Linked DNA regions of Arabidopsis thaliana. The protein of the gene in region 1 interacts with the protein of each later gene in a pairwise test. Each region holds a gene or a part of one and is shown in the gene's direction. Other genes may lie near its edges.

Evidence for each region.
Region 2: the proteins of KAN (region 1) and ULT2 interact in a two-hybrid assay, tested with the Arabidopsis thaliana proteins (one study listed by BioGRID).
Region 3: the proteins of KAN (region 1) and ULT1 interact in a two-hybrid assay, tested with the Arabidopsis thaliana proteins (one study listed by BioGRID).

Annotation. Positions count from the first base shown.
Region 1 is NC_003076.8:5,406,058-5,413,821, reverse strand, and holds KAN (Homeodomain-like superfamily protein), read left to right. Parts: upstream 1-2,055; 5' UTR 2,056-2,729; coding exon 2,730-3,459; intron 3,460-3,563; coding exon 3,564-3,640; intron 3,641-4,522; coding exon 4,523-4,568; intron 4,569-5,445; coding exon 5,446-5,593; intron 5,594-6,147; coding exon 6,148-6,256; intron 6,257-6,355; coding exon 6,356-6,457; 3' UTR 6,458-6,959; downstream 6,960-7,764. Other genes in the region: AT5G16550 (voltage-dependent L-type calcium channel subunit), read right to left, coding at 7,181-7,338, 7,448-7,685. UniProt on the Arabidopsis thaliana protein: Transcriptional repressor that regulates lateral organ polarity. Promotes lateral organ abaxial identity by repressing the adaxial regulator ASYMMETRIC LEAVES2 (AS2) in abaxial cells. Required for abaxial identity in both leaves and carpels.
Region 2 is NC_003071.7:8,964,573-8,969,025, reverse strand, and holds ULT2 (Developmental regulator, ULTRAPETALA), read left to right. Parts: upstream 1-1,782; 5' UTR 1,783-2,230; coding exon 2,231-2,432; intron 2,433-2,696; coding exon 2,697-3,181; 3' UTR 3,182-3,470; downstream 3,471-4,453. Other genes in the region: AT2G20830 (folic acid binding / transferase), read left to right, coding at 145-656; AT2G20820 (uncharacterized protein), read right to left, coding at 3,789-3,883, 3,971-4,004, 4,147-4,217. UniProt on the Arabidopsis thaliana protein: Putative transcription factor that acts as a key negative regulator of cell accumulation in shoot and floral meristems. Negatively regulates the size of the WUSCHEL (WUS)-expressing organizing center in inflorescence meristems.
Region 3 is NC_003075.7:13,983,104-13,988,522, forward strand, and holds ULT1 (Developmental regulator, ULTRAPETALA), read left to right. Parts: upstream 1-1,919; 5' UTR 1,920-2,649; coding exon 2,650-2,936; intron 2,937-3,344; coding exon 3,345-3,689; intron 3,690-3,772; coding exon 3,773-3,947; 3' UTR 3,948-4,339; downstream 4,340-5,419. Other genes in the region: AT4G28180 (uncharacterized protein), read right to left, coding at 1-578; AT4G28200 (U3 small nucleolar RNA-associated-like protein), read right to left, coding at 4,705-4,785, 4,877-5,060, 5,135-5,307, 5,385-5,419. UniProt on the Arabidopsis thaliana protein: Putative transcription factor that acts as a key negative regulator of cell accumulation in shoot and floral meristems. Negatively regulates the size of the WUSCHEL (WUS)-expressing organizing center in inflorescence meristems.

The DNA of each region.
Region 1 (7,764 bases):
ATAGGAGTTAATGAACTCAATTCCTTGTACCATTAACTAAAGATAAAAGAAATTAAGTGTATCCTAGGAGTTTTAGAAACCTAACTCAAAATTAGGAATGGACCTCATTCAAAAACGTTAGAAGTATAGCTAGGGTTGTTATACTGTTTTTGATTGAAAATGCTTTTTAAATAGATCATAATAGTATCTTGTTTAACTCACATGCAGCAAAACGTCTAAAAACTGCAAGCATACTGTACTTCTTTACTTTCCAATAATTAAAATTTATATCTAATAAGAAAAATATATATTACTGTATAATCAACGAATAAAATCTCACTTATTTAAATTTCCTGATATATAAACATAGTCTTACAATTTATCATATTTTTATTTCAAGGCATTAATGATTTGTCGAGATGTTGTATTGATATGGTCATGTGAGGAGTGAATAGTTTATTTTTTTTCTTAGAAGACAATTTAAAGAAAATTAGAAAAGAGTTATTAAATTGAGAAGGAATATTTGGGAGAATGAAAAGGGAATTAGAAGCAAATATTTAGGTTCTTTAGGGTTCACTTGTTTTTGTTTATTAAGGGAAACAAACAAAATCCACTTTCTGGCTGAGTATTTTCTTAGGTCTAATATATATTTAACTTCACGTATAATCTAAAAGCATGCATGTTACGTTACAATAATTGATCGAATTCTTTATATGACACTTGGTTTATATACGTACGAGGGCACCTTGTATTGTACACACGTATGCATATATGTATGTATTTGAAGAGAAAGATACTTTCTAAGACAATAATTTCCGTACCTTTGGAAGGCAAAACACAGAGTTTATATATTCCAAATTAAAAGTGGGATAAAAAAATATAATAATTCTTTGACAAAAACATACGAATAGTTAAATACTATTCAATTTTGTATATTTTTCATTATTTTTCAGTATGACATATTTCTGTTTCACAGTAGATAAAGTCAACTCCATAATTTTTTTTGTAGAATTATAAACGAACAATGTGAATGTAAAAATGTCGAGTACAAAGAAAACAGAAACACTAGAATGCATACATTATTACATTCGACACAAACAAGTCAAAAATATATATAAATCTGCCTAATTTTATTTCTTTTCAAGTACGTATTTTAAAGCGACATGTATATGACTTCGATTTGGCTCTAATTGATAGACAACACAAAACGGTCAAACAAGTAGCCGGTTGATATTGTAGTCACATCTCTAGGAACTAAATGTCTATACGAGCTATTCATAAACTCAAGAACGTACTGATATTTAATGTATATTTATCTCTTTAGGTATAGTTGAACAATCTACGGTCAGAAACTTGAATTTGTTTGATTCCAAAATCGTATAAGGAATTATTATAATAAGATGTGAATAGAGAGTGAAGTGAGAAGCGAAGAGAGTGGGGGAGAAAATAAAAAAGGAGTCAGAGAGGACACAGTCTCTTTCTCTCTCTCAAGTCTCAACATATGTATCCCGTCGTCTCCGGGGTACCAAAATCAAAGCACTCTCTCTTTTTTTATTTTATTTTTTTTTGGTTATAATGAAACTTTTTATTTATTTTAGAATAGGTCTTGTGTTTGTTTTTTTCTTCTTGTTATTTATTTATTTAATTTAATTTTGGCTTTTGCTTTGACTATAGATTAGATAGGACAGAAGAGAGCGACCCTTTATTCTCTCTCCTCTTGTACTCTTCTCCAACATTTTTAATTATTATTCTTCATGATAATCTGTGAACATTATTATTTTAAAGATCAATTGAGTTTTTGATTTATTACTCAAATTGTTAAGGTTTTAATGGATGATAATCGTATTAATTTTTATTGTTAAAAGTTGTATGCTTTTCATCTATGAAATTGGTCGATTATTAAATACACTTTACATTTGAAAATTTCATCTACTAAATTGATAGAAAACAAGATTTATTTTGCTATTATTCTTCAACTTTATCTATGGAAATCAAAATTTCAGTAGTTTAAACGAATAAACTAAAACATGAAATCAATTAATCTAGCCGTAAAATAATTTATATTATATTGATAGATGGGTTTACTTGTTGAAAGGTGAAAAAGACAAATTGAAATACCATCCCAAAATAAAATAAAAAGCTTCCAATATTTGGAATATAGCGAATGACAATATTACCCTTTCTCAACTATCGTTTTCCAAGATATACTCTCGAGGAACAACATCTCACACATACACATACACATACATGTACATGAACGAACACACATATATCTCTCTCTCTTACCTGTTTTTAATTTTCCTGGATTTAGTTTTATTCCTTTTTTCTCTTCTGCCTTTGCTTCACAACACACATACCTCTCTCTATCTCTCTCTTCCTTCTTTTTCTCTCTCTCTGCGTCTTACTTTGAGCATGTTTGTTTCTTCAAGAAGATCATCACTCAACTTCTCTCTCTTCTTCTAAGCTTCTCTTTAACTTCATCTCTCTCACTTTCTCCTTTCTTTCTGAGATATAGAGAGAGAAAGAGAACAAAAAAAATATCAAATCTTTCAGACACCCTTTTGACTTCTTTGCCTAAAGAATCTCTCTGCTTTCTCTTCTCCTTAGAGAAAATCATTTTAAATTCCTAAGCAAAACCCTCAGGAGAAAAAAAAAACAAAAGAATAGTCATCATCATCATCACCATCATCATCCTTATCATCATCAACAACTTCAGTGGCAGCAATAGCAAGAGAAAGGTTTCTTTAATTATGTCTATGGAAGGTGTTTTTCTAGAGAAAACCAAAACAAACACAACAACTACTCTCCCTGATCTATCTCTCCACATCAGTCTCCCAGATATTCATCAATACCATCACAATGAATCTTCTAAAGAATCTTCAAGAAGATCCTCCCAACTCGAAAACAACAACCGATCGTCCAACTTTGAACTCTCTTTATCTCATCATAACCATCCAACAGCAAGAATCTTCCATTGTCCTGATCGAAGAACCCTTAATCTTCCTCATCAGCAGCATTACAACAACCCTATCATCAATGGTGTTCATCAAAGGGTCGATGAATCCGAGATTAGTAATCTCCACCGTCCAATTAGAGGCATCCCGGTCTATCACAACCGTTCATTCCCTTTCCACCAACAAAACTCTTCATTACCTTCTCTTGGAGGAGGAGACATGGATCAAATCTCAATCTTAAACTCATCTTCCGGCTACAACAACGCTTACCGATCATTACAATCTTCCCCGAGGCTTAAAGGTGTTCCTTTGCATCATCATCATCATCATAATCAGTATGGAGTCGTTGGATCTTCAGATTCGTCTTCTCCTCATCACCATAACCATCATCATCATGGGATGATCAGATCAAGATTCTTGCCTAAGATGCCGACAAAGCGAAGCATGAGAGCTCCAAGGATGCGTTGGACTAGTAGCCTCCACGCGCGGTTTGTTCACGCTGTTGAGCTTCTAGGCGGCCATGAAAGTACACATTTATATCATAATCACATTCTAATGATCATTCCCATTTTTCTTCACTTTATTCTCAAAGTCTTAAATCTTTTATTCTTGTTGTTGTTGTGATTCTAGGAGCAACTCCAAAGTCGGTTCTTGAGCTCATGGATGTAAAAGACTTAACTTTAGCACATGTGAAGAGCCATTTGCAGGTATAATCTATACTCTATTTGAAATTAAATTAGACACAACAAAGAATCAATTTTTATTTGTTAATTTAGGTTTAATCTAGTCGAGTTAGTTCGTTACCAATCAAGATTTTCTATAATTAGGGATATTTCATAGTTTTCATCACCATCATGTCACTCTCTTCTCCTTTGCGTTTTGCACAAAAACAGCTGAATCAAGAAACAAGGTTTTTGTGTACGTATATATCATCAGAGCAATGAATAGAGCTCCAATTCTGATGTGTTACTTTTATTTTCTTGTTTTGTCTTTGCTTTAAGTTTAGTCATATTTTGGAAGAGATGGCACAATTGCCAAGAAAATTGAAGCAGTTGAATGAATTTAAAGAGAGAAAAAGAGAGAGTAGTTATAGCTTTAAGTGACTGAAACCTTTCAGAGAATTATTAAACAATGGAGAATTGAGATGATAGATAGAAGTTATTTTGGATTATAATTCATTTTTTCTTTTTTAAATTAGGAAGAGGGGACAAAAGTAGTCATCATTACTCAATGATAATAATACAATCTTTCTATTACTCAACCTTCTTTCAGACATCAACCTCGTGGTCTTAAAATCATAAATAATTAATTATATATACATCATCAGTTCCAAGACAAACCCAGAAAACCACACATATGTACTACATATATTATTTATTTAATAATATAAAGTTCATATGTGTCTGCATATATCTCTCCAGTTTGTCATCTGTAATTCTGTATCACATTATACAAAAATAAATCTATTTAGTTTATCAGTATCTTTTGTCCGATATTTATTTTGGTTTTTTCCTGTGTCTTTAATTGGATTTATGGTTTATTCTAGTTTTAGAGCTCTCATCATGCCTTTAATTTTTTTTTTTTTGCAGATGTATCGAACTGTTAAGACCACTAACAAGCCTGCTGCTTCATCAGGTACGTGTGATTCCTTTACACACACACACACATATAATGTTATGCATATTCACATTTCTTTAGTATAGCTTTTTTCAGCTTTATATATGCTAAAGAAATGGTACTGGCTTTTAATAAGAAAGATATACAATTCACCAAAAAATAACATAAGACAGATATACAATAAAGCTTAGGATTCTCCACCAGAATTTTATAGAAATGGAGGTCCAATATAATCACTATTATAGCTTTTTTTGACTACAATATTTATAAGAAATTAGTTCTCAATCAGAATTTGAAGCTGTGATTCGATATTTGTATGTATGTAGAGATATAATGACGTGAAATTATTTCTGTTATTTTTACTATTTGATTCTACTATTTCTACTATTCCCTTTCCCCAAAATAATAAAAAACGAGCCCTAAGATATTGGTCAAGCTCAAGGCTTTTATCCTTCCTTTGATTGAACCCTAAAGTTGAGTGGTCAAAGTTCAAAGCAAACCAAACAAACATATATCCCCAATATTGATGTTCTCTAAGAAAAAAAAATCGAGTAAAAGATTAAATTTAAAACGTGTGAAGTGTAAACTCATATCCAAGCAAAGTTCATGAATTAAGAATAAAGAAAAACCACTTGTTTCATATGGATTTTCTTTAACCAATTAAAAGTTTATTTGGCACAATTTTCGAGTCTGTAAAACTATTTTTTGAGACACATATTAGGTTGGTCAACACGAAATGCTGAAATTATTTTTTAAGAAAAACAATTTCTTCACTGCATTGTCTTTTACAAAAAAGCTTACAAGAATCGTTCAGTTTTAAATGAGATTCCTTATAGGGTATAAGTGATTGATTTGAGACAACGAAACTTGATAAAAAGTTAAAATAAAATTTCAGATGGGTCAGGAGAAGAAGAAATGGGCATAAATGGAAACGAAGTTCATCATCAATCATCGACGGATCAAAGGGCACAATCTGATGATACTTCTCTTCATCAAGAAACTGACATTTCTTCCACACAACCTCGTTGGAGTAACTCTTCACGGTACGTTTACGTATATACGTACATGTATTATACACACGATAAGTATATATAAACATTAGGTAAGAATAAGATTGACGAAATTTGAGATAGGGTTTAGGGTTCTCTCACCTAATTGTTCCTACTTCCTACCAAGTAATTCATACGACAATTGTTTGGTTTATCCCACATCTATCCATTTTCTTCTAACAAAAATAGTTTTTAGATGATATTTTAAGTTTGTTTTCGTTCAGTTTAAGGGGAAAAAATTTGAGTGATGGTTTTGGTTACAATGAGATGAAATTGGTTAGGGTTTATGGCTGATGAACTTTAATTATATGTACCAAGTTTTTTTTTTTAATTATAATTTGGTTTGGGTTCTTAAGATTCATCTAGGAAGACTAGGATAAACGAATTTTGCTTCATAAGTATGACATGTAGATTGTGGTCATATAGCAAGTTGCAAAAAAACGCAATTTGTGTGTAGTGATTTTTATTTTATTTTTAGGGCATCTATACATCAATAAATACAATTTGTCCTTAATTTGTTTTCTTTCTTTTCTTAAATCATAAAATAGAGAGACATGGCCATTAAGTAATAACTGCTCAAGCGACATAGATACAATGATCAGAACTTCATCAACATCAATGATCTCTCATTATCAAAGATCCAGCATTCAAAATCAGGTTCTGATAATTCCCATCTAATCATATTTGTATAGATAGATATTGCCTTTCTTAGTGTTTTTTTTGTCCTTTAATCTAATATAAAGTTAAAATTGGCAGGAGCAAAGGTCGAATGATCAAGCAAAGAGGTGTGGAAATCTTAGTTGTGAAAATCCAAGTTTGGAGTTTACATTAGGCAGACCAGATTGGCACGAGAAATGACTTTCTTGATCAATTTGGATTTTTATATATATTGGATTTTTTATTTTTTTGTTTCATCTTTCTCTCTCTATATATACTCAGAAACATGTATGCAGTATATATCTTTGTGACGATGAAATTCTCAGCGTAAAAGAAGGAGAACACGTAGAGAGCCAAGCTGCTCAAGAGTGTTGATTTTTGCACAGAGAGAGAGAATATCACTACCAAAATGAAGAAATTTGGAGGTTCCTCTTCTCAAGTTCCATTGATGATTTGATTATAAAGTGGATGATCAATGTATGAGTTTTTGTTTTTGGGTTTTCGGGTTTTTAGTTTTTTGAGGTTGATCTGGTGGTGTGATCATAAGTTATATAATTGGAAGATCATCAAAATGTGGTGAAAGTTTGGATATTTTTTTGAAAGCCTCTTGGTTGGCTAGAGGGTTTCAAGTTTTTTTTTTTTTTTTTGCAGCCGAAATGTAGAGAGAGGGAGAGATCTGAGTTGAGATTTCATATGGATACTGATCATTATTCTTTCTTAAGTACATAAAACACACAATGTATGCATACATAGATCCAAAAATCCGTAGACATTGATCACAAAATGTTTCAAGTTGCATTTTGAAATATTCTTATCATTCTTTCTCTGCTTCTTCACAACAAACTCCATAGATCATATTTATATCAAGCTTCCATTAACAACCAAAAGTCGGGGTTTATTTACAAACGCGGTAAGGACGGATTCTCAGTTGGTTGATTCGATGTTTACCTCCCGGTCTTGGTGTTGATGACGACTGATAGTGTTACCTGAAATGGCTGATCCCACCACTGAAACCGATTGCTTAGCCAAGCGTAGGCTTCCTCTTGTTCCCAACCACACCGCATAGAAAAACCCAATCCAACCTGATCCAATACCAAATTCATTTCATTCTTCAATACATATAGGAAGTAACTTGGAGTGTCACTCATTACAAGATTCCAAAACAGAATCAGAGCAGAGTATATAACCAACCTGAAGCTATTAAGACAGAAACGACAGCAGAAACTGTAGCGGTAGAGATGACGAATGCAGCAACGGATAAGGCTCCAATGTAAACACCAGTCAAGCAGAGAAAGAAGAGTGCCAAGAAGCCACCAGCAACAGCAAGTGAAATCAGAAGAGAGATTATGATAGCATTGGCTGTTGCAGCTACAAAGAAGAGTGTGAATACAACCAAAGCCATTGTTGTCAAAAGAACTATTGTTCCCATCTGCAACAACAATAACAAGATAATAACTAATCAACATATAGTCTCAGACACCCACGAAATTTGGCTCAAATGGGTTCAA
Region 2 (4,453 bases), on another chromosome or scaffold:
TTGTTGTGTACGTTGTAATAGGCAAAGTGATGCCCTGTGTTTAAAATCTCATCTTCGTCTAGGCCATAGAACTTGGAAGTCTTTGTAGCAATCTCTATATTGATATGTGGACTGGACTGAGATATATGACCCACCTTGGTGCAGTTCCTACATATCTCTATGGAGCAGCAGAAAAGGAGCAGTGCACCCTGGATTCGATCAGAAGAAAGCTGGGGTACTTCAAGGCAAACAGGGAGGGACATGAATGGGCAGGTGGGTTTGACCTGGAGATGGTGCCACTGAAGCCAGACGCAGGGCCACAAGAGGTGAGCAAAGCCAAAGGGGTTGTAGCGGTTGGGGCGTGTGGGTGGGTAAGTAACTATAACGTGCCTGTCATGTCAAACGATCTCAAGGCAGTGAGGAGAATAGCGAGGAAGACGAGCGAGAGAGGAGGGGGCTTGGCTTCAGTGCAGACAATGGCGCTGGTGCACGGGGAAGGAGTCATAGAGGTTGCCTGTAACTTGTTGAATCCAAGCCAAGTGGGGGGAGATGAAGTACAGGGACTGATCGAGAGGCTTGGCAGAGAGGAAGGTCTGCTTGTGGGAAAAGGGTATTATACGGACTATACACCTGACCAGATCGTTGAAAGATATATGGACTTGCTCAACAATTCATAAATTTCAAAGTAAAAAAAGTAAAAACAGTATGATGTTGTCATTCTTAGAACGTATTATTACCGACATCGATCATTTATCTTCATTTTGTGTTTAGATGTGATATACATTGCCATGAGTGACAATTGAAATTAGCAAAGATTAAATAAAAAGTGAAATGATAAAATGATGGTACGTTCATTGAGAGGCCAAAACATCAGATCTCATCATTGGTGTTTTTCCTCAACAACTGTGAGAGATTTGTTTTGTGTAGCCTCGTCTTTTGCCGTGGTTCTTAAAGCTGTTGTTTTCTTAGCATTTTGCCTTGTTTTGCATATATCTATATGGCAATGCATGCAAGTCATTAACTAATGTATAGTGAACTATTGGTAGCATCGTGACCATGTGGTAATTAACAATCTTTGTCCTTCAAATTTATATATATGGAGGTTGTGGTCTATATGATTTGTTAAAGTGAAAAGACAACTGGTTTTCTATTAATTTGGTCGTAGGTGAAATTCGAGGGTCAAAAGTCTCTAAAAACAACGTGGATGAGGTGGAGTTTGGTGCGGCTCGTTATTGACTTGAGTTCTTCTTGGTCATTTTTTTGGGTTTGCAACAAGGGGAAGGAGGTTAAAAGAACATTTATCTTTTTCTGTTTTATCACTAATTATTGTGTTGTTTTATTTGATATAATCAATCAATAGGTTAAAAGAACAAGAATAAATTAAAAAATTCGTCAAAAACATCAAAACGAGAACTAATTTGAAACACAATTTAACTTCTAAACGACAACTAATTTGAAACGGAAGGAGTATACGTTACATTTAGACAAAAAAAATGTAATTTATGACATGCCTACACACATTGACGTAGACAATTAAAGGTTAGGTGTGTCCTTGTATATGTGTATACATGTACATACATATGTATGGGCACATTGGAGTTGGGCCGCAATGGAGAATAAGGACCAGATGCGACTATCATACACCTAACTCTTAAGAAAAAAAGCATTATTTGTGTACATAAATGGTAGACCCATGAAACCTGTAGAGCTCAAAAGTCACAAGTAAAAGAGAGAAAAGAAAGAAGAGAAGAGGTAATTACATGTGGGTTTAGAGAACAACTTTACTTAATCTCTTCTCTTTTATCATCAACCAACCATATATGGACAATTACAAGAACACATCTATGTATGAACGTTAACGTAGATAATATTATAAAATATTATTCTAAAAATTAAAAGATTCACAATTCCCATGCCTCACGACTTGTATTTTTCTTTGGCCACCTAATTTGCATCCATCATCTCTCTGTCTCTATAGAGAGTTTCTTTCAAATCCCCTAAAACCTAGAAAAACACCAAAGTCTCTCTCTCTTTTTGTTTTACTCCAAAAGCCTTTTACCTTTGAGATTTTTCTATATAATTGTCAGATCCTTCGTTACTACTGATGCTAGCTCCTTTAGGGCTTTTTCTCGTTTACTCATGTCAAATTACCTTCTTGTCCCTTGGTGTTTAGGGCTCTGATCCTATATAATAATACTTCATAGGAAGGAGAAGGAGCCCTTCGTCGTGGTTTACTTGGTCCCGATCGGAGATGGAGAGAGAATGTGGGTCGAAGGAGTTGTTCAGCAAAGAGGAGCTACAAGAAATAAGTGGAGTCCATGTGGGAGACGATTACGTCGAGGTCATGTGTGGCTGCACCAGCCACCGTTACGGAGACGCCGTTGCGAGGCTTAAGATATTTTCAGATGGAGAACTTCAAATCACCTGCCAATGCACTCCTGCTTGTCTCGAAGGTTCCTCTTCTTCTCTCTCACATCTTTCTATATGCATGTTCCATGTGAATGTGTATGGATTCATGATAGTGTCAAGAATGCAATGTAACTGTTCTTTGGCCTCGGTGAACTATGAGGCTGCTTGTATTTGCTAGATGTGATATGTTTCATGCAGTCTTTTAGAGTGTGGGATAACCTTACATTGTAATGTATCTCCATTTTATATCACAAGTTCGAGTTTCTTTCAAAGTGATCTGATTGACAGCTTTCATTCTATGATGGTAGACAAGTTGACGCCTGCTGCCTTCGAGAAGCATTCTGAGAGAGAAACCTCTAGAAACTGGAGGAACAATGTTTGGGTGTTCATTGAAGGAGACAAGGTTCCGCTTTCAAAGACAGTGTTGCTCAGATACTACAACAAAGCATTGAAGAACTCTAACGTATCGAAAGTCATTCATCGGGATGAGTTTGTTGGGTGCAGCACATGCGGGAAGGAGAGGAGGTTCAGATTGAGGAGCAGAGGGGAATGCCGGATGCACCATGATGCAATTGCTGAGCCTAATTGGAAGTGTTGCGATTACCCATACGACAAGATAACATGCGAGGAGGAGGAAGAAAGAGGGAGCAGGAAAGTGTTCAGAGGTTGCACTCGCTCACCGTCCTGCAAAGGCTGCACTTCTTGCGTCTGCTTCGGCTGCAAGCTCTGCCGTTTCTCTGATTGTAACTGCCAGACTTGCCTCGATTTCACCACCAATGCCAAACCCATTTGACTTCATTTCTCTAACTTATTTAATTCTTCTGCAAAAACTTGTAATGTATGCTCTGCATTTTCTTTAATCAGTAGCTTGTTACACCTGTTATGCGAGTGGAGAGACCAAGTAGGGATCACATACTGGAAAAAAAACCGACTTGGGGCTTGGAAAACTAACTTAGCACCACTACGAGGACATGAATCTAATCTAAATTCAACCATATAACCTCGGCAAATACACACAAGGCAGGAGATCGATAACAAGAAGCAAGCAGTGACTGTAATAGTATGCTGAATAAACTATGTCAAGAATAAAAGCATGAGACAAGAGCAGCTACAAACATTTGGATTAGCCAATATGTACTTGGAAGGTGGACGACATACATGGAGAAATACCTCCAACAAAAATTGGTATCCAAACCAGACAAATAGAATGGAAGGAAATAGCTCGAAAGCATATATCAACATACGTAGTGAGACAATGATTTGCTTAAATCCTGTCTGTTTCAAACATAGGATATTATGAAACACAAAACTGTCAAGAATTTATCCATTGCAGACATCATCAGATCTCAAAAGTGATGCAAATTATTTTCAAAATGAAACACAAGACCAGTCACAATCTGCTAAAAGGGAAAACAAAGTGCATGAGAATGAGAGGTCTCTCCATAAAAGGTCTTCCTGGTGACAATGAAACTCATTGTGTACTCTCCACAGGCGTCTGCAAAAAAAACTATGTATAAGGGAAGGAACCCGAAGCCTCTAGGCAATGGAAGAAGAGCAAGAGCTGAAGAGCAAGAGTAAGTACCTCTTTTTTTCCCCCAGTGGCGAGCTTGTATCCACTGTAGAAAAGTAAGCCCCAGCCAGACAGAGAAATAAGCACAAACTGCAGATTGGTCAGGTAACAGAAGGAATCAATTCAACAAAAAATCACAGCTTTCATTAACAAAAACACAGTGTCACAAACACATGATTGATACATACATGCTCCTCTTTCCAGTTTCCTGGGTTCGTGGGCTGTTTCCAGAAGTCAACCTTGGTAGATCCATGGTGATCTGCACAGTACACAGACAAATCCACAAAATGCTCAAAAACTCAATTTTTTGTATACAGTGATTCAATTTGGAACCTGACAACGCCAATGATATACAAAATCTTCACAAAGTTGTAACATTTGGTTCATCTAAAATTCGTGAAAACACAAATTAGACATAAAATGTGCGAAATAAGCTATACGCCACCAAAATTGATACCGAAAAAAATCGTAAATATCGAAAAGAGAAGGAAGAGG
Region 3 (5,419 bases), on another chromosome or scaffold:
GCTGGAGACTGTGAGCGACGCCTCGGATTATCCGATAACCCGCTCCGTGGGAGTGGACCCGAATCCACATTTCGCCGGTTGTGAGTAGGGTTTGGTTGACGAGACTGTCTCTCTCGGACTAACCTAGGACGGAGCTGCTTCCCCTGAGGAGAATGTCGTTCTGCCGGAGATCTGAGGACTCTGTCAGGCCTGTTACGGCGAGAGGTGGAAGAAGAAGGAGGAGGAGGACGGTGAGGTTTGCTGAGAGCATCGTCTTCGAGGATGGACGCAGCGGTAGCAGTTGTGGCAGTGGAGTAGCTGTGAGAGACAGAGACGCTGCAAATGTCGGACTTGCTGTGAGAGATCTCCGGAGCTGGAGGTGAGAGAGGAAGAGGAACTTGAGCTTCTGAATCTGAGACTGTTGGTGCGGAAGGAACGAGGTCGGGGACTGGGACAGGGACGGAGATGGGTATGGGGACGGAGACAGAGACTGATTGAACAACGACTTCTTTGACGGATTCTTCTTCGAGGGGTGGAGGAATTTGAGCGGCGGCGACTGGTGGAGCTGTGACTTTTCCGGCGCTGAAGCAGCATCCCATTTTCTTTCTACTTTTGCTAATTCCTCTCTCTCTCTCACTCTGCTCTCTCGAGAGTCGCGAGTCATATACTTGTCAACTTTAATGGGCCTCTTTCTCATGTTGGCCCATATTCACTATGGGCTCGATTATGCTCTTTTGTTTTATCCACTTTGATAAAGAATCTGATATTTGTCTCATTCATTCATATCTTCAAAGACAAAACGCTAGTGTTTGATTTTCTTTAAAATATTCAAAAGAAAATTATGCGGATGGACAAATATCTCGTTAGATAGCGACCCATCATCGTTGGGATAATTTCAACACACAACTGCCGATTGCCTTGGACAGGGACACCGGACATGTAACGACAGTAAGTAAAATGCTTAATACTTATACTACCAACATCTTCCTTTTGGTCGTCAAAAATGTAGTTGAAGATAAGAACTGACCATCATTTTTTAGCTCATCATCCATCCACTATGTTGCATTTACCTCATTGTTGAATAAGAACGCGTTGAGCAAGCTACTTTTTCATCTTTAGTTGGTTTTGTGTTAAATAAAACTTGAAGTGGAAAGAACCTAACATCGTTGCTGCAAACTTGATATTCGAATATTTATAACCACCATCTTAAAAACAAAAACAAAATATGAGAAGTTTAAAAACATGACAAAACTTTGAGTAGAAATCAGAAAGGGGCCAAGGCTCGTAAACTTCTAAACCCCAAGCCCATAATAAATGTTTTGAATCCATAAGTTCACTCCCATCCGCTACTCTTTTTTTCAGTTTCTTGGGAACAACTAGGAGGAAAGAGAGTTTTTAAAGTTCAAAGTAAAGATGTTGTTATACAAAAATTGTGTTGACAACTTATTCATATTCATGTCTCTGTAAAGATGTTGACATAATTATTTCACTTTCTTCAAAAAAAAAAACTGGCGACATTTTCTTTAATTCTCATTTATCCATTATGTACTTTTTGTTTTTGTTTTGCAACCCATCCATTGTGTATGTACTTAAGATAACAACAACAACAAATATACCATATATAAATCATATGGTCTACATACAACACTAGTATCCTCATCCGTATTAAAAAAATGAGTTCCTCGAACACATATAGCTACAAATATAGAGATATGACTTTGGGGTTTGAGCGCATTGCAGAATACCTAACAGGCATAGATGTCAATGACGTCGTCGTCATGTACTTGGTTACTAGTTGTTTTATAGACAACTAGTTGATTAAACCTTTTCTTTTAACAATTAAACAAACCAACCTTTATATATTTCTTCAACTTTTATTTTATATAAAAAAATAGCCAATAGGTGTGGTGGTGAAATGACTCGGTAACCAATGAATCCTGGTGAAAGGGAAGAGCCAAGAATTTGCAGAACCTCAAAGGAAAAAAAAAGGACCTTTGAAAATTACAAAATCAAGAACTTCTTGAAAAGAAGTAAGTACAAGAAATAGAAAAAGGAGTTATGACATTATAAAACCAAAGAGGAACCTGAAACAATTGACACAACCCTATTCCTCAACTTCTTCTCTCTTATGTCTTATCAAAAGCCTCTCACCCACCGCCTCTGTTCCTGCTCCTCTTATCAACCATAGAAATTCTCTCTCTCTTCCCTATATACAATACAATGTTATGTAGGTGATACATACTATAACATAGTTGTATATAAACATTAATATAATGGAGAGGTCCCATGCCCCCACGAGTTTTGTTTTGTTGGCCAGCTAATTCGCATCCTTTTTGTTTTGTTTGTATAAGAGAGTTTCTTTGTTACTTACTATAACCACAAGACCACAAGAAGGCCAAAGAGAGGCTAAACTAAAAGAGCTCTCTTTCTAATTTATTTCTCTCTCTTCTCTTCTCCCGAAAAGCCCTTAATAAGCTTTTGCTTTGATATCAGATCTCTCTTACGGCTTTTGAGATGCGTGCTCCTTTAGGGCTTTCCTTTTATACCCCAAAACGAGGCCTTTCCTTCTTCTCTCATCTCCTAATTCTACCCTCTTCCTCTTCCTCTTCCTTCTCTCTCTCTTCTCATTCTCCTCATACGCTATAAGGAGAAAATCTCAGAGAGAGAGTGATGGCGAACAATGAGGGAGAGATGCAATGTGGGTCCATGTTGTTTAAGCAAGAGGAGCTACAAGAGATGAGTGGGGTCAATGTTGGTGGCGATTACGTTGAGGTCATGTGTGGTTGTACCAGTCACCGATACGGCGATGCTGTTGCTAGACTTAGGGTTTTCCCCACCGGTGACCTTGAAATCACCTGCGAATGCACACCTGGTTGCGATGAAGGTCTCTCTTTTTTTGTCTCTACTGTCTCTTTCTCGTGTCTTTCTGATGCTTTTGGGAAAATGGGTTTTGATTTGTGTGCATGTTACATGTGAATGTGTGTGAGATTAAACGTTTGTCTCTGTCTAGCTACTATCACATTGGGCTGGTAAAGCTAGGGTCTTTAGCATGATTACATATTTATCAATGAGTCTTAGTGTATGCTAGCTAGATCCGTTCTTGTAGAAAATGAAATGACTTGATTTGCCACAGTAATGTTTTAGGCTGTCTGTTTATCTGTAAATGGTAATGCGTCTCTTTGTTACTGGCCAAGTGGTAGCTTTATTGACAAATGATATGTCTCGCTTAGCTGTACGTGTATGTCAAAGTTTGATGCAACCTAGTTCTTGTGGTATCTTGTAGCTAACAATTCCATCTCTAGCTTATTTGGTATAGATGCTCATTTAGAGCTCTCTTTGAAAGTAAAAGTGACTGACTTGAACAGTTTTGATTGTATGATGCTAGACAAGTTGACACCAGCTGCATTCGAGAAGCATTCTGGAAGAGAAACGGCAAGGAAGTGGAAAAACAATGTGTGGGTTATCATTGGGGGCGAAAAGGTTCCATTGTCAAAGACAGTATTGCTCAAGTACTACAATGAATCATCAAAGAAGTGCAGTAGATCAAACAGATCACAAGGTGCCAAAGTTTGCCATAGAGATGAGTTTGTTGGGTGTAACGATTGTGGTAAAGAGAGGAGGTTCAGGCTGAGGAGCAGAGACGAATGCCGCTTGCACCACAATGCAATGGGTGATCCAAACTGGAAATGCTCAGATTTCCCATACGACAAGTAGGTGTCTTTTGTTGTCCTTGTATGTACTTAAGTTTGATGCAAATGATGTATTATATCAATGAATGGTGTGGTGGTCGTAGGATAACATGTGAGGAGGAAGAAGAGAGAGGGAGCAGGAAGGTGTACAGAGGGTGCACACGTTCACCTAGTTGCAAAGGCTGCACTTCCTGCGTCTGTTTTGGCTGCGAGTTATGCCGTTTCTCTGAGTGTACTTGCCAGACTTGTGTCGACTTCACCAGCAATGTCAAAGCTTGAAGAAGGCAGTCCATTAAGAAAAGAAAAAAAAATGTCTGTCTCAGACTTTGTTCGTTGCATTTAATAACTTATTCTAAAACTCCAAACAGTTAATTATCTTATCTATGGGTTGTGAATGGAGCAATTGAAAAAAAAGTAGAAAAAGTTGATTTCCAAGAAGAACATGCAGACGAGCATGCCTGAGTTTAGTGCATGTCTAGATTTTTGGCTAGTGGCAGGGAAAAGTGTTATTAATAGTTTGTTGTTACTCTTTATTTTATTAGCTGTTGACAGCTTTGTGAGACGAAGTTGTCAATGGCACAGCTACTCGGTCTGTGATTTAGCCATTTAGGAGATGGGACATGGAAAGAGACATTTTCTTAATACCCAAAAAGCCCTGACGTCTTGTTTTGAACACAGTAACCATATGGGATCCCTTAAGTGATGTATACTTTTATTATCAACAACAAACATTAGAATCATAAAGACCAAGTCGTCACCAGGTAAAGAGGATACGAGAATAAATTCATCAGAAACATGTGAAACATGTGAAACGTGAAACCAAAGACGTAGAGGCATGTATGAACTTCAACATGTTTTTGTATCAAAAAAGTGTTTTAGAGTATAACTAGACTCATAAAGTAGTACATCGACTCCTGTTCTGTTACAACCAAAATTCATATCTTAAGGATCACATAACTGAAACCTGCATCCACAAATACGAGGCAAACATAGTGTTTCCTTCATCATACATACTAGACTACCTATAAATCAGAGATCAAACTATGAAATCCGCGGATTCATTCAGAGTCTTTCTCGCACGCCAATACACTCCATTGGCTGTCTCTGATGTTCCCAGCTGCAATAAACATCAGAAAGATTGTCAGTTAGCATACTTGACACTAAGTCATAGTATTGGTTTTGGTCAGGGTATTAAGAATCCACTTTACCTTTGTCTCCAATGAGTAGTAATTCTTCCACAGCTCCACGTCTTGACCGTAACTTGCAACAGCAGAATCATACAGCTTCCGGGCATTACTGAGACCATCTTTATCACCTACTGATATGAGGTTGGTCTCTATTTCAATGCAACCTTTGTATAGAACAAGACTGGGACCAGGAAGAGCCAAGAACCTGCAGTTTTACGGTAACAGTGGTGAGAATAAAGTCCATGTGTGACTCAAGGGACTGGAGGAGTAGTGACTCACCTCTTGTATATCTTCCTCGCACTGTGGGCCCCTTTTGTTTCAAGAACAAATTTCACCACTGTGGAAGCAAGAGAAAACACATGGTCGCTCCCATGGCTTTTGGTTGCTGATAGGATGGACATCTCTACAAGTTTGTCCAAATAAGTTCGCTGATGAGCAAAGAAATTAAAAGCCTGCAATACAATAAGCATTTTATTAGTGTAGTCTTAACAAACTAGTGTATTGTCTAGAAAATATATTAGTCACATACCATTAGCCACAAGCTCTCAGATTCTGAGATCGGTA